Ovis aries: one gene and its partners. The protein of the gene in region 2 interacts with the protein of the main gene of each other region in a pairwise test. Links are inferred from orthologs where the notes say so. Each region holds a gene or a part of one and is shown on either strand. Other genes may lie near its edges.

Region 1 (2,671 bases), on a different chromosome or scaffold from region 2:
AAGTGGTTTTGATCTGCCTTTCCCAAACTAATGGTTGCTGTGTACTTTGATTTATATGAAGATAATACCTTTTCTCTGGTTTTGATTTCTGCTTTTTTTAAAAAAAACAAATGTTCATCTATAAAGTTTAGCACTTGTTTCCAAACCTGGTTAGTTTAATACCCATGTTTTTAAATAGCATTAGGGTATTGATGGTATTGTACAGCTTTAGTCCTTTCATGGCTAACTTTGGAATAGGTTATACTATGGGTATTTTGAATAATATGAGTGTGTTGTTCAGTCACTAAGTCATGTCCAAGTCTTTGTGGCCTCATGGACTGCAGCACTCCAGGCTCCCCAACCTTCACTCAACTATCTATGAATATATTGGGTATATATATGGATATATTGGGTAATATGAGACTGTTAAAATCAGTTTTAAACGGTCATCTTAGTTTACACTTCCAAATCCTTTTACCAAGTCGTCATACTCAATTTGTGAAGTAAAAACCAAGTTTACTCTTTCAGTTTTGATAAATTGCCTGCATACCACTTGATAAACAGAAAGAGCAGATGTGTTGACCTGGTGACTTGATTAAAGAAAGGTTTTATCATTGCAAGCTTCCACAATGTTCATTCCAGGGGCCCTCCTCGCCAAAGACAGCCCAGAGAGGACGGCAATGAAGAAGATAAGGAAAACCAAGGAGATGAGACCCAAGGTCAGCAGCCACCTCAACGTCGGTACCGCCGCAACTTCAATTACCGACGCAGACGCCCAGAAAACCCTAAACCACAAGATGGCAAAGAGACAAAAGCAGCCGATCCACCAGCTGAGAATTCGTCCGCTCCCGAGGCTGAGCAGGGCGGGGCTGAGTAAATGCCGGCTTACCATCTCTACCATCATCCGGGTAAGTAAGCCTCGATGGCCCTCTGGGCAGTCATGAGTGATGTCCATTAATGAAAGAGAGGAAAACCCAGTTCATCAGGTAAGGTAAGCCACTCAAACTTACAGTGTCTTCTACCCAAACTAATCTTAAGATGACTTGAATGTCATTTTGTTAATGGATTGTATATCAGAGCCATACTTTGGCCTAGCTTTGCATTGTATCTTTTGTATTAGGGCTTTTTTGTCAACTTTCTTGGATGATTTTAATGTAAGCTGGAGAAGGAAATGGCAACCCACTCCAGTATTCTTACCTGGAAAATTCTGTGGACAGAGGAGCTTGGTGGGCTGTAGTCCATGGGGGTTGTTAAGAGTCGGACATGACTGAGAACACACACAAACACCAGTAAGCTGAGGAAAGTCTTGCTGACTACAAGTAATTACGTTATGAGATTCTTCATTTTCAAAAATAAGTGGGATGGCTACTCAGATTAAAAACGTAGGTGATGATGACCAGGATGGTCTGTTTACGTGGTGGCTTTGGCATTACATCATCAATTCTAAAATTAAGAGGATTCCCTTTTTACTTGATTCTAGGAGACATGTATTTGTCTCTGTTTGACTCTAGAATTATCATTTTCAGCCAGTGAGACTTTTTCCCCCTATTTTGAGTGTCAAAAGGTCATTCAGAACCTATGAGTAACCATTCTTATTATATAGTAATGCCCACTCCTGTTATGAACTGCTGTGTAAAGGTAAACCAGTATGAGATGTGTTCCCTGCCTAGCTAATTTGATATACTGAAAGATTGCAGTGAACTATAGAAGGTAATTAGAAAACTTCTTTTTCTCTCTTACAGTTTAGTCATCCAACAAGAAGAAATGAATATGAAATTCCAGCAATAAGAAATGAACAAAAGATTGGAGCTGAAGACCTTAAGTGCTTGCTTTTTGCCTGTTGACCAGATAACTAGAACTATCTGCATTATCTATGCAGCATGGGGTTTTTATTATTTTTACCTAAAGACGTCTCTTTTTGGTAATGACAAACGTGTTTTTTAAAAAAAAAAAAAAAAGCCTGTTTTTTCTCAATACACCTTTAAAGGTTTTTAAATTGTTTCATATCTGGTCAAGTTGAGATTTTTAAGAACCTCATTTTTAATTTGTAATAAAAGTTTACAGCTTGATTTTTTCAAAAAAAAAGTCAACAAACTGCAAGCACCTGTTAATAAAGGTCTTAAATAATTGTCTTTGTTGTATATTTCTGCCTTGCTTTTTTAGTTTACAAGTACTTAGCTGGTTATTAACTTAAATCTCTGCAGATAGGTGATACTTAGTGGTATTTACTCAAGGAAATGCTCTTAAAATGTGTAATCATTTGTTGAGTAGCATACCTGTACTGAAAATTAGAATTTGCTACGATAATCTGGCCATTTTCCATTCAGTGAGTTCCTTTTACTGGGAGGCAGTGGTAAAGAGAGGGCATGTTCTAGTGGAGACTAACAGAACTGTGAGTTACTTCAGCCTGCAGATTGAAGGACACCCACCTTAGTTAGCAGATGTCTGCCGCAGAGACTGCTGTACTCAGTAAACACAGCTCAGCTCCTTTACTTGGGTACTAGAGATGGTAACCACAAATGATGGAATGCTTGTGGGAAGGCTGCTTAAAGAATATAGAGGTCAGTGACATTCATTTTGTCCTCAGCACCCTTGTAACATAAGCGTGTTCCATATTTTATAGTGTCTTACTTTCCTTTATGGAATAATTTGATGACTGCTATCCAGAGACATTCTGGACCGTTCTGGCCAG
Region 2 (3,304 bases):
GCTCTGTGAGGTCTTTTTACAAGTCTATCAGCTAGTTGGGTTGGGTTTTTTTTTTCCCTATCCACTTACTTTTTTTGTAAATAAAGTTTTGCCTAAAACAATTGTGCTGTCAGGATTTGAAATGTGCAGCTGACATGTTAAGTAAAAATAGAAGCTGTTCTTCTTAATCCACACCAGATTCATCTTTGCTGGCTTCTAAGAGAGGTCTCCTGGAATCTTTGAAGCAACTGGGTTAGCTGAGTCATGGAGCTTGGTCTCAGTAAGGCACACATCTTTGGTACTTATTAACCTTACAGCATTGATGATTTCAGCCAGGAATTGTTCTTAAAGAGACAGAAGCCAAATCGTGGTGTCACTACTTTGTTCTGGATACACTAAAGAGAACAAAAGCACTAGAATAATACCTCTTGTTTCCTTGGAGCTCTGTTCTTGCCAAAGTTAAGACCTAACAGTAACCTATGAGTAGAGCGGGCCCTTAAAGCACTTTGGCCTGGCAATTTGCTCACTCAACTTCCCCTGCAAGCTGTGCCTTCTTACTGGGAAGCTGTGTCTCTGCTGAGGTGCCTGGATAGCCAACTGTTTTCTAAATCAGGCAGTAGTTTATTATTTTGCCTGTTACATTTTTTGTGTGTTTATCTTGTTGTCAGAGTGCAAGTGTTCCTGAATTGTTCTTTCCTTCATCTTTTTAGCTTCAAGAGTACATCTGTCTAAGGACACAAATGTTAAACATGAAGCCTGGAGTAAACATATGGCCAAAAGGGAAATACGTGCTCTGGGAGATTTGATTCCATTTGCTGGACAAGCAAATGGATGTTTAACCGTATAACACTTTGGAGATTCTCATCCGTAATCATTGGCCTATTTTCTGCAGGTTCATATTTCTCTGTAGGTTTATATTTTACTTACAAGTGAGAAGTTTCATTCGTTGTTAGGAATTGAAACCAAATCAAATTTGAAGGTTTATTAATACTGTTTTATCAAGAGACAAAACTAATTTGACCTCTTGATTCATGTCTGACTCTTGTGATCCCATGGCCTGTAGCCTGCCAGGTTCCCCTGTCCATGGGATTCTCCCGGCAAGAATACTGGAGAAGGTTGCCATTTCCTTCTCCAGGGGATTTTCCCAACCCAGAAATTGAACCCAGCTCTCCTGAATTGCAGGCTGTTTCTTTACCATCTGAGCTACTACAAGGGAAGGCCCCATACAATAAAATGTATATTCTCAAAGAATTTTAACTAAGGCGGTTTTTAAAAAGCAGCCTGAGTTCTTTATTCAGCCTTGGTAGCAACCCTTAGATAATCATACTGTTGTTACTCTTTCCATATATTTTGAGTCAAAATTATTTACTGTAAATCATCCTGTTTTTGACATATGGTATTTGTACAGTCAGTACCCATGTTGAGAGCAGTTTCTCCATCAAGTTCTTTTCTAGGAAGGTGAATTTTCCTTATTTATCAAAGTAGCATTTGTGAACAAAACAAAAGGCAGGAACTAAAACTTTTCAGTCTCAGCAAAATACACTTAGATATGCAACATTTATAGGATTTCTGTTAGTCATGTTAAATCTTACATCTGAACCTACTAAACTGATAGAAATTTGGTCTGACTTGAAGTAAGTTCAAAAATGCTTGAATTAAGACTATGACACTACTGTGTATAAAGCAGGTAACTATTGAGAACCTACTGTATAGTTTAGGGAACTCTGTTCAATACTCTATGATAATCTGTATGGTGATAGAATCTTAAAAGAGTGGATTTATGCATTTATATAGCCAACAGGGGCTTTCCTGGTGGCTCAGCAGTAAAGAATCCAGCTGCGGTGCAGGAGACACAGGTTTGATCCCTGGGTCGGGAAGATCCCCCTGGAGAAGGACATGGCAACCCACTCCAGTATTCTTGCCTGGAGAATCCCAAGGACAGGGGAGCCTGGTGGGCTACAGTTCATTGGGTTGGAGCCAGACACGAGTTAGTGACTGAACAACAGCAATAGTGGGCTGACTTTGTGGTTACAACAGAAACTACCCCAGCACTGTAAATCAGCCACTCCCATTAAATAGAAAAAAGAAGGCCTGTCAGTATGAGAACGTGTGGCTGCAAAGTGCAAAACCCACGCAGCTGGAAGCAGAGCAGCAGCAGCATCTTCCCCTGCTCAGCCCAGCGAGTGTCCATGGAGACGGCCGTGTGTACGTTCTGTGTCTGATGCTGTAACTGTGTTTCAGATGGTAAAGGATGACTATGAAGATGATGCCCACGTTTTCCGGAAAGCGGCCAATGACATCACATCCCAGCTGGAGATTAATTTTGGTAACCTCCCTCGTCCCGGGCGTGGAGCCAGAGGTGGCACACGGGGAGGCCGGGGAAGGATCAGAAGGGCAGAAAACTATGGACCCAGAGCAGAAGTGGTGGTAAGTGTGTATATTCTAAATCCTGGATGGTTTTCTGAAGTGAGAGGATGAAGATGCCCTGGGCCTACATAGTTTGATTTTGGAGGATCATCAAGTTCGGCCTGATCTAGATAGAGGACGTTCTTTCTCCTCTGTCTAGTGTGGGCCCCATGTTAGAGTATTTGGAATGGTCATCAGCATGATGGGCATCAGTTGGATACAGACCATTGTGTAGCCCTGGCCTCCCGGGTCTCCAGGGAAGTCTGTCTGCTATGATTGTACACTCAGAGCTGGAGAAAAATTCACGCATGTGCATCAGATGAGGTCCCCAGGCCTGGTATTGAATTAGATCAACTGACAGTTGCTTACTACGGTGTAAGCAACCCTGTGCCCTGAAGCTTTCAGTGTAGACAGAATCATTCCAACAGCTTCAAGGCAACCTTTTCACGTCAAACCATTCTTTGCCACTCTTTAGCTGACACTGCCCTACTTCTGGGACAGACAACCTTGTTCCTTACTCCATGGGGCCTTTCTGCCTGCTGGCCTTCCTCCTACCCCTTTGCCTGTTTACCTAGGCTAGATCCTCTAACCTCCCTTCATCAGAGGAGGCTTCCAGACCAGGTCAGAGTCCTTCCTTTCTTTGAAGCACCATCTGCATTTGTAATTGTACTATCGCTGGTACAATTGTTGGTCAGCATCTGCTGTCTCCAGAAGACAGATTGGTTTCCCCAGTGCCTAGTATAATATAAGCTGTACTAGACGCTTCATCAGTGTTTTATGAACAAATATACCAATACCTGTTTAGTGGGAATTGGGCACAAGGTTCAGCGGCCAGCAGAGGCACCCATGCTGTCCTTGTGAGAATGGAGAAGCCCCTTCTTTGTGGCTGATCTTGGAAATATTCCTTTTGCTGCCGATT
Region 3 (4,143 bases), on a different chromosome or scaffold from region 2:
GGATTCTGGCCTTCTTCACACATCTGAGTAGCCATAGCCCGTAGAAGCTTTGCCACTGTCCCACACTGTTCCTTCCCAAAGGCAGGCCTTCTAGCAGCCTGCAAGGCCCTCTGTCAACTGCCACCCCCACCCCCATTGCATTGGTTTGGTCCCCAGGGCCTTCAACGCTCCAGCTCTGAACTTTGGCACTGATTCTTTCCTCGGATTGGAACATCCACCCATAAATCCCGAAAGATCTCTCCTATATCTTTCTTTGCTAAAAATCTCCCCCTTGAGCTCTTTTCCCCCATCTCATTGGATGTAAACTCAAAAAACAAAGAAACAGGTCCCTTTTAACCTGTTCACAGCTATGTTCCCAAGACCTAAAATTGCGTCTGGTAACCAAGAGGTGCTCACTAAGTTCTGTGCATTTGCTTTGCCAGGGGTCTCTCTGGGTGTTTTACCTATCTAATATACTCTCCACACCGTGTGAGGTAGGTACTATTATTCCCAATCTCATTTCATGAGAAAATAATACACGTGACAAACAGAAAAGAAATACTTGGGCACGTCTAGACACCCAGACCCAAGGACCTTTTTATGAGGTGGTTTTGCCCGAGCCAACCTTCCTCTTGAAGCCTTTCAGTTTCTGCGAGAGCTCTCCACGCTCCTGCTTAGGCGGGAGCGGGGTTTATTGTCCAGCAGCCCACAGACTAACTTATCCTTCATTCCCGGTTTTCCTCTCTGTAACCCATTCCTGCCTTAGTCCTGGGTGGACTGTCTTTCTTCACCCAACACCATTAGTGAATAAACCTCTTGAGGGAAGAGTCGCCGCCCGCGCATGGAATTTGTTAGGGTTTAACAGTTCACCTGAACGCAGCTTACTTTGAAATTTTAATATAGTATTATTCACATCGCCCACCGTTACTCACAATTGTGCCCATGAAATTAAGCTCCCTCTGCGATGCCCTCCGAGCCACCAAGCGGAAAGGGAGGGGTTCAGACTGTGCCACGTAAGGCCAGTGAAGCCACTAGGCTCCCCTTACTAAGCTCTGGGGCGTGTACTTCCTCTCTGACGCTTTTGAGACATCATTCCCCTACCATAAGGAGCCTTTTTAAATACTCAGTCATGTTGGTTTAATAAGGGAATTTGTACGGTGCTACCAAATTACGTTGTACGACGGTCTGGACCAGAAGTCTTCTTTTATCTCTCCCTTTGAACTACATGGCGCTGCCACCTTGAGCAGAAGTGAATTATGGGAGGGCGCCATTTCGTTCGAGAGGGCGGGTATTTCCGGATCCGGCGTGGGCGGTTCTCTCTTTTCCTCTGCAGGGCCGCGGTGGAAGCGGTTGTGCGGGTCGCCTCTCTGAGTTATCCAGTTCCATCCTTGTCGCTCCGGCGACACCCGCACTCTCCGTCGCCATGACTGAACAGATGACCCTTCGTGGCACCCTCAAGGGCCACAACGGCTGGGTGACCCAGATCGCTACCACTCCCCAGTTCCCGGACATGATATTGTCCGCCTCTCGAGGTACGGGCTGAGGTGCTGGATTAAGGGGCAGGGGTCGTTGCGCGCGTCACATGGTTGGGCCGGTGGGCTGTGAGTTGACCTGTGCCTAGGCCTCATCGCGGATGAACCGGTGATGCGTCCCCGACTTGGCGAGCCCCGAAACAGCTGGCTGCCGGGAGGGTTGCAAGGCTGGGGCCTTTCTAATCGCTACCTCTCAAACCCGTGTATGTATCTGTGGGCCCAGGAGCCTTCGGGTCGGGCGGCGCCGTGATGATCCCAACATGCCATCTGAGTGCCTATGCTGAAACCCAGAGGCTGTTTCTGAGCTGCTGCCCGGACCCTCTGCTCATTAAAAAGTGGACTCCAAGGCGGACCTCGTGTCTAGTCTCTCGGCTATTTCGGGGCAGCCCTTTCTTCCCCCTTTTTTTTTCCTTCTCATTCTCTCTGTACCTGACTGCATTTGGAGACTTCTTGGCGATTGCTTTTGCGTTCACGCTATTTAAAAATAGTTCATCTGAGGCTACAATCATGTATGGCACTTACTAGGAAAGTTTATTCAGTGGAACACATTGCAGTGAAAGCATCCAGTCCTTAGCGCCTAAAGTGGATTTTCTATTGCTAGTATTTCTTGCATCCTTTAGCAGTAGTTTCAGGAGGCCCACAGCTACTCTTCCATATCCAGCCTGCTGTGTGCATGCATTCTGGAAGTGAAGTCACTCAGTCGTCTCCGACTTTTTGCAGCCCCATGGACTGTAGCCTACCAGGCTCCTCAGTTCTTGGGATTTTCCCAAGCAAGGGTACTGTAGTGGGTTGCCATTTCCTTCTCCAGGAGATCTTCCCTACCCAGGGATTCAACCCAGGTCTCCTGCATTGCAGGCAAATGCTTTACCATCTGAGCTACTAGGGAAGCCCAATAAATAGATGTGGAATCGTTTTAGATTTTCGAAAGGGGCATCCATAACCTGGTAAAGTTTCACACACCTGAGTTAAATTCTCAGGGTGCAACTTAGCTCTGCTTGACTCTTGACTAAAGTTACTTGGACTTGGCTAATAACTACTCTCAGCCTTTAGGTAGTTTCCCTACCCCTAAATGCCCTTGGTTTATGATCCAGAAGGTCAGATGGTGAGCCGTGGGGTTTTTTCACTGGGTCTTTTTTTTTGTTTGTTTTGTTTTAACCTGCCCTTAGATAAGACCATCATTATGTGGAAGCTGACCAGAGATGAGACCAACTATGGTATCCCACAGCGTGCTCTTCGGGGTCACTCCCACTTTGTTAGTGATGTGGTCATTTCCTCAGATGGCCAGTTTGCCCTCTCAGGCTCCTGGGATGGAACCCTTCGCCTTTGGGATCTCACAACGCAAGTAGCTGCTCTGGGGCACTGGGGGAAAGCTGGGTAGAAAGCAGGTAGATACCATCAGGTTTCCCAGGGTAGTGATTGGGTACTTGAGTGGGAACTGTAAGGCACAGTACCTGGAGAAGATATTTGTGGTGGTTCGGCCTCCCTCCCCGTTGCTTTTAATTAGATACACAGAATTGCTGAAGAGTGGTCTGTTTTAGCAGTTTTATCAGATACTGCACTTGGGACTAGACAACATGTTTGAACATACTGTATATTGGGAGCTCAGTCTTGGGTGGTCAGGCATAATGGAGGATCCTGGTGATGACAGATGACATTGTCAGCCAATCCCCACATGGGAGTGAGGACATGTCCTGCAATTCTGAAGGGATTCTCTGGCATATTCTCGGCCAAGGGCCTGCCGTTTATCAAAGCCATGTCCAGGGTGGTGTGGGTAACGCAGCTCCATTGGGTGAGGAATTGGGCCAGGGAAACAGCCTGACTGGAAGAATGTTTGCAGTCTTTCTAGAGAGTAACCAAGTCCTCCTTCTCAGGGGCACCACCACTCGCCGATTTGTAGGCCATACCAAAGATGTGCTGAGTGTGGCCTTCTCTTCTGACAACCGGCAAATTGTCTCTGGCTCCCGAGACAAAACCATCAAACTATGGAATACTCTGGGTGTATGCAAATATACTGTCCAGGTAAAGTAAAGGCACATGCAGGGAGCATATGTTGAACATTTCCCCCATCCTTCTTAACTGGTGCTTTTATATGGTGATTTTAAGCCTCGTCTGGAACCTAAAGGGATTCTATCTTATCTTAAAGGTTTGGGTTCTGGAAGTGTGAATACAGGTTGTCAACATACTGAATATATATCCCACATAACTGAGCGGGGAGGGTGGGGTCTCGAGTTTCATAAGACGAGACAGTTTCTCCTTATTTCCTTTCCATCCTCTGCAGGATGAAAGCCATTCAGAGTGGGTGTCTTGTGTCCGCTTCTCGCCCAACAGCAGCAATCCCATTATTGTTTCCTGTGGCTGGGACAAGCTGGTCAAGGTGAGCTTGGAGCCAGGGCGTGAGGCCTTTACCAACCAGAATGTGTTCCCACTACCTCCCAGTTGGTCATAATCAACTTTGAATCAGCTTTGTCCCTTAACTGACCGTAAGTGGCCAAGATTAATAATTCTTGGACTTTTTTGTCACTGATAGAATGGAAATTGGCTCTCCTATCCAGGGATGCCTTTTAAGCATGGTGCCATGCCTTTTTTTGACCTTGATAGATCCAGAGCCCAGGTTCTTCACCTTTGACCCACA
Region 4 (4,115 bases), on a different chromosome or scaffold from region 2:
ATCGCTCAGTTGCTACATGCGAGATCTTAGTTCCCTGACCAGGGATTGAACCCAGGTCCTCTGCGCTGGGAGCAGACACTTTGACCACCACAAAGTTCCAAAAGCCTCCTTTAAGAAAATAAAATGTACTTGGCTGGGCTGGGTCTTGGTTGCGAGGTGCATGTGACCTTTGTTGCTATGTGTGGTATTTTAGTTCCCTGATCGGGGATTGAACCCAGGTCCCCTGCACTGGGAGAGGAGAGGTTTAACCACTGGACCACCACTAAGTCCCAGGAGCCTCCTTTAAAAATCTTCCTCCATTAGAAGAAAATCTGCCTGAGAGGAAGAGAAGGAGCACCGGAGGGTTGTGGCATCAGCTGAGGATGGAGAGTAGCCCTGGCCCCAGGAAGGGGAGGCCTCACAAAGGACACCACATAGAGGAGTTCTCTGGTGGGCCAGGGGTTAGGACTTGGTGTGTTCACTGCCATGGCCTGGGTTTGATCCCCGGTCAGGGAACTAAGATTCCCACAAGCAGTGTGGCAAAAAAAAAAAAAGAATATGCTGCTGGACAGTTTTATTCTTCAGAGCAGATGTAGGAAGTTTAATAAATGACAAGGCAGGCCACAAACACCACCTAATGACAATTTTAACTTGCAAGAATCTTCACCTGACATATCATATTCCAAAATTTGAACTGAAAATTGAGTGACACTTGGAACGAGCACTGCTAGGTTGCAGACAACGCTGCCCTCTGAAGCCATGGTAACTGGCACCTTGACAGACAGAAGTTTGATGTACAGGCACAAAATCTGTCTAAGCTGTGACAGTGTGGACCAAACTGACCCCTGGACAGAGAAATGCAGCTATGTTCAGCAGCACATTATAATGGTCCCAAACTGCCTATAACTTCGCCTAGGAGAGTGGTTTGGGTCACGTTACAGACCACACAATTGATCTATGACGGGGAAAGCACTACAATACTAGGCAAAAGCACCAGCCTGCTGCTTCACAGCGCATGCAAAACTTCAAAGTGGACCGTGGATTTAAAACAGCTTAAGCAGGCCAAAAGCATCCCTCTTTTCTAATGAAAAACTATACTGCAACCCCACCCTGTTAATTATCTTGCTTTCTCAACTGTAAACAGAACAGGGGCTTTATTTTCCTCAGCCAGAGCCTGAGGGTAGTAGACCCAGCAGAGTAAATCCGATTCTGTGGGCAGTGCCGGAATCTCTGAATTTGCATGCCTAGTTGTGGGCAAGGCACAGCCTCACTCACCAGGAAGGGCTCAGTGACTGCTGCCTCTACTGGTCCAGAAGACTCCCAGTGGCTTGGCTTCAGTGCTACTGGGGTGATGTTCAGGCACTCAGTCGTGTCTGACTCTGCAACCCCATGGACTCCCTGCCAGGCTCCTCTGTCCATTGGATTTTCCAGTCAAGAATACTGGAGTGGGTTGCCATTTCAGACTCACACCTCCTCCTTTGGCAGGTGGGTTCTGGACGCCAAGCCACTGGGGAACCCCGCTACTAGCTTACTGTCTCCTTGTTAACCACCACAGCACATTACTGTGCAGTGAATAAGCAAAAAGGAGCCTAAGAAGTTATCCAAACGAATCATACCATCTCTGGGAAACCAGGAGTCAGTTAAGCACCTGTCTTAACTAAAAGTTGTTGTGGATACCTCACAGCAGGTCCTGCAGGTTTATGGATGTGGTCCCCTGGGCTCCATAGGCCCCTGGTACTTACTTTTCTCCAGCAACTTTCCGCACTAATTTGGCTTCCGTCCCATTCACTTCCAATTCCCAACCTCCTGACATTTTGGGGAGAGACTTATATTTCTGTATCTTCTTTTCCTCCTTGATCTCATCGCTGAGGAAGTCAACGAAAGCTTTGTCTCCTACAATGGAAATAAGTTACAGAAAGAGCCAATTAGTCTAAAATGGAAAATGACCCCGTTACTACAAGCAAAGACCAGGACTTAGCCTGTTTTTTCCTAATACTTCTATTAATGGTGGCTCTGTGGACTTAGCCCAACTCATATCCATTAAACCTCAATTCCTTCATCTGTAAAAATGTAAGCTATCAGTGGGAAGCTGAGCATGGATTCTAGGAAAGTGATCCCGAATAATGAACTTCTCACGACGTTTCAAAATAAAGCAAAAAAAAAAAAAAAAAAAATCGCCACTACCCTTTCACTTGCCAAGAAACATCACGCTACTTCTAACCGCGACCTTGGGCTTTCGCAAAGTTCCATTTTCGAGAGACTGAGGTAAAGCCGGCCTCCAGGACTTTACAGTATCTATCCCCGCAGTCAAACAGGGGTGGGGGAGGACGGGAAATGTTACTACGCGTGGGTTTAACTAGCAGGTCGACCATCACTGGGAGAATGTTCCGGACCTCAGGAGCGGCTCCGGACTGTCCATTCAGGTGGTCTACACCTCCCAGCCCCTAACACCCCGCCCCACCTAGGCCCACGCCCCTCACGCCCCCGGCCCACGTGCATGAGTCTCACCTTCGGTGTGCAGTCCGCTACAGCCGCAGCCGCAAGCGCAGGGCCCCCGAGGCTTCAGGAGGCCGGGCAGCTGAACCGACCCCGCGCGCACGCTCAGCAGCCCGAAGGGCCGGGCGCATGGCCGGGACGCGGGCTGCAGAAGCGGCAGGGAGGGTGCGGCGGCGCGGAGACCAGCGACGGCAGAACCCAGGACGCGGGGCACGCAGCGCAGCAGCTGGAACATTTTGGCAGCGGAGGCGGTGGCGAACACGTGCAGATTCGAAATACAACTCTCGCTTAGAAGGACAACTCCTTGCCGCTGCGCCCCCTAGATCTGGGACCGCCGCCGGAAGTCCCGCCCCACAGCCGGGAAGTGCTTCCGCGCCGCCGCCTTGCAGACCAGAAGGCACAGTGGGCAGGACCCTGCCCTCTGCTGGTGGCCTCCGGTGTAGCCTCCCAGGGAGGCTTGGAATCTGATTCCTAAACTTTAGTTCTGCAGCAACAGGAATCTTCAGGAACTAAAGAAGTTTAGGAATCCTGAAATGGGAAATCAAGTGGGCCTTAGGAAGCATCACTACGAACAAAGCTAGTGGAGGGGATGGAATTTCAAATCCTGAAAGATGATGCTATGAAAGTGCTGCACTCAATATGCTAGCAAATTTGGAAAACTCAGCAGTGGCCACCGGACTGGAAAAGCTGTTTTCATTCCAGTCCCAAAGAATGTTCAAACTACTGCACAACTGCACTCACCTCACACGCTAGCAAAGGAATGCTCAAAATTCTCCAAGCCAGGCTTCAACAGTATGTGAACTATGAACTTCCAGATGTTCAAGCTGGATTTAGAAAAGGCAGAGGAACCAGAGATCAAATTGCCAACATCCGCTGGATCATGGAAAAAGCAAGAGAGTTCCAGAAAAACATCTACTTTTGCTTTATTGACTACACCAAAGCCTTTGACTATGTGGATCACAACAAACTGTGGAAAATTCTGAGAGATGGGAATACCAGACCACCTTACCTGTCTCTGAGAAATCTGTATGCAGGTCAAGAAGCAACAGTTAGACCTGGACATGGAACAACAGACTTGTTCCAAATTGGGAAAGGAGTAAGTCAAGGCTGTATATTGTCACCCTGCTTATTTAACTTCTATGCAGAGTACATCGTGCGAAATGCGGGCTGGATGAAGCACAAGCTGGAATCAAGATTGCCAGGAGAAATATCAATAACCTCAGATATGCAGATGACACCACCCTTATGGCAGAAGGTGAAGAACTAAAGAGCCTCTTGATGAAAGTGGAAAGGAGAGTGAAAAATTTGCCTTAAAACTCAACATTCAGAAAACAAAGATCATGGCATCTGGTCCCATCACTTCATGGCAAATAGATGGGGAAACAATGGAAACAGTGAGACTTTATCTTCTTGGGCTCCAAAATCACTGCAGATGGTGACTGCAGCCATGAAATTAAAAGACGTTTGCTTCTTGGAAGAAAAACTATGACCAATCTAGATAGCATGTTAAAAAACAGAGACATTGCTTTGCCTACAAAGGTCCATCTAGTCAAAGCTATGGTTTTTCCAGTAGTCATGTATGGATGTGAGAGTTGGACTATAAAGAAAGGTGAGTGCCGAAGAATTGATGCTTTTAAACT

The links.
Region 1: the proteins of HABP4 (region 2) and YBX1 interact in a two-hybrid assay, tested with the Homo sapiens proteins (2 studies listed by BioGRID and IntAct). The link is inferred for Ovis aries from reciprocal best matches to the Homo sapiens genes HABP4 and YBX1.
Region 3: the proteins of HABP4 (region 2) and RACK1 interact in a two-hybrid assay, tested with the Homo sapiens proteins (2 studies listed by BioGRID). The link is inferred for Ovis aries from reciprocal best matches to the Homo sapiens genes HABP4 and RACK1.
Region 4: the proteins of HABP4 (region 2) and C1QBP interact in a two-hybrid assay, tested with the Homo sapiens proteins (2 studies listed by BioGRID and IntAct). The link is inferred for Ovis aries from reciprocal best matches to the Homo sapiens genes HABP4 and C1QBP.

Annotation. Positions count from the first base shown.
Region 1 is NC_056054.1:17,201,305-17,203,975, forward strand, and holds the end of YBX1 (Y-box-binding protein 1), read left to right. Parts: intron 1-621; coding exon 622-856; 3' UTR 857-887; intron 888-1,721; 3' UTR 1,722-2,107; downstream 2,108-2,671. UniProt on the Homo sapiens protein: DNA- and RNA-binding protein involved in various processes, such as translational repression, RNA stabilization, mRNA splicing, DNA repair and transcription regulation.
Region 2 is NC_056055.1:29,687,011-29,690,314, reverse strand, and holds part of HABP4 (intracellular hyaluronan-binding protein 4), read left to right. Parts: intron 1-2,220; coding exon 2,221-2,406; intron 2,407-3,304. UniProt on the Homo sapiens protein: Ribosome-binding protein that promotes ribosome hibernation, a process during which ribosomes are stabilized in an inactive state and preserved from proteasomal degradation.
Region 3 is NC_056058.1:38,114,255-38,118,397, reverse strand, and holds the start of RACK1 (small ribosomal subunit protein RACK1), read left to right. Parts: upstream 1-1,336; 5' UTR 1,337-1,402; coding exon 1,403-1,511; intron 1,512-1,751; exon of another isoform or gene 1,752-1,819; intron 1,820-2,677; coding exon 2,678-2,849; intron 2,850-3,142; exon of another isoform or gene 3,143-3,221; intron 3,222-3,382; coding exon 3,383-3,530; intron 3,531-3,789; coding exon 3,790-3,885; intron 3,886-4,143. UniProt on the Homo sapiens protein: Scaffolding protein involved in the recruitment, assembly and/or regulation of a variety of signaling molecules. Interacts with a wide variety of proteins and plays a role in many cellular processes.
Region 4 is NC_056064.1:25,998,091-26,002,205, reverse strand, and holds the start of C1QBP (complement component 1 Q subcomponent-binding protein, mitochondrial), read right to left. Parts: upstream 2,812-4,115; 5' UTR 2,711-2,811; coding exon 2,488-2,710; intron 1,873-2,487; coding exon 1,722-1,872; intron 1-1,721.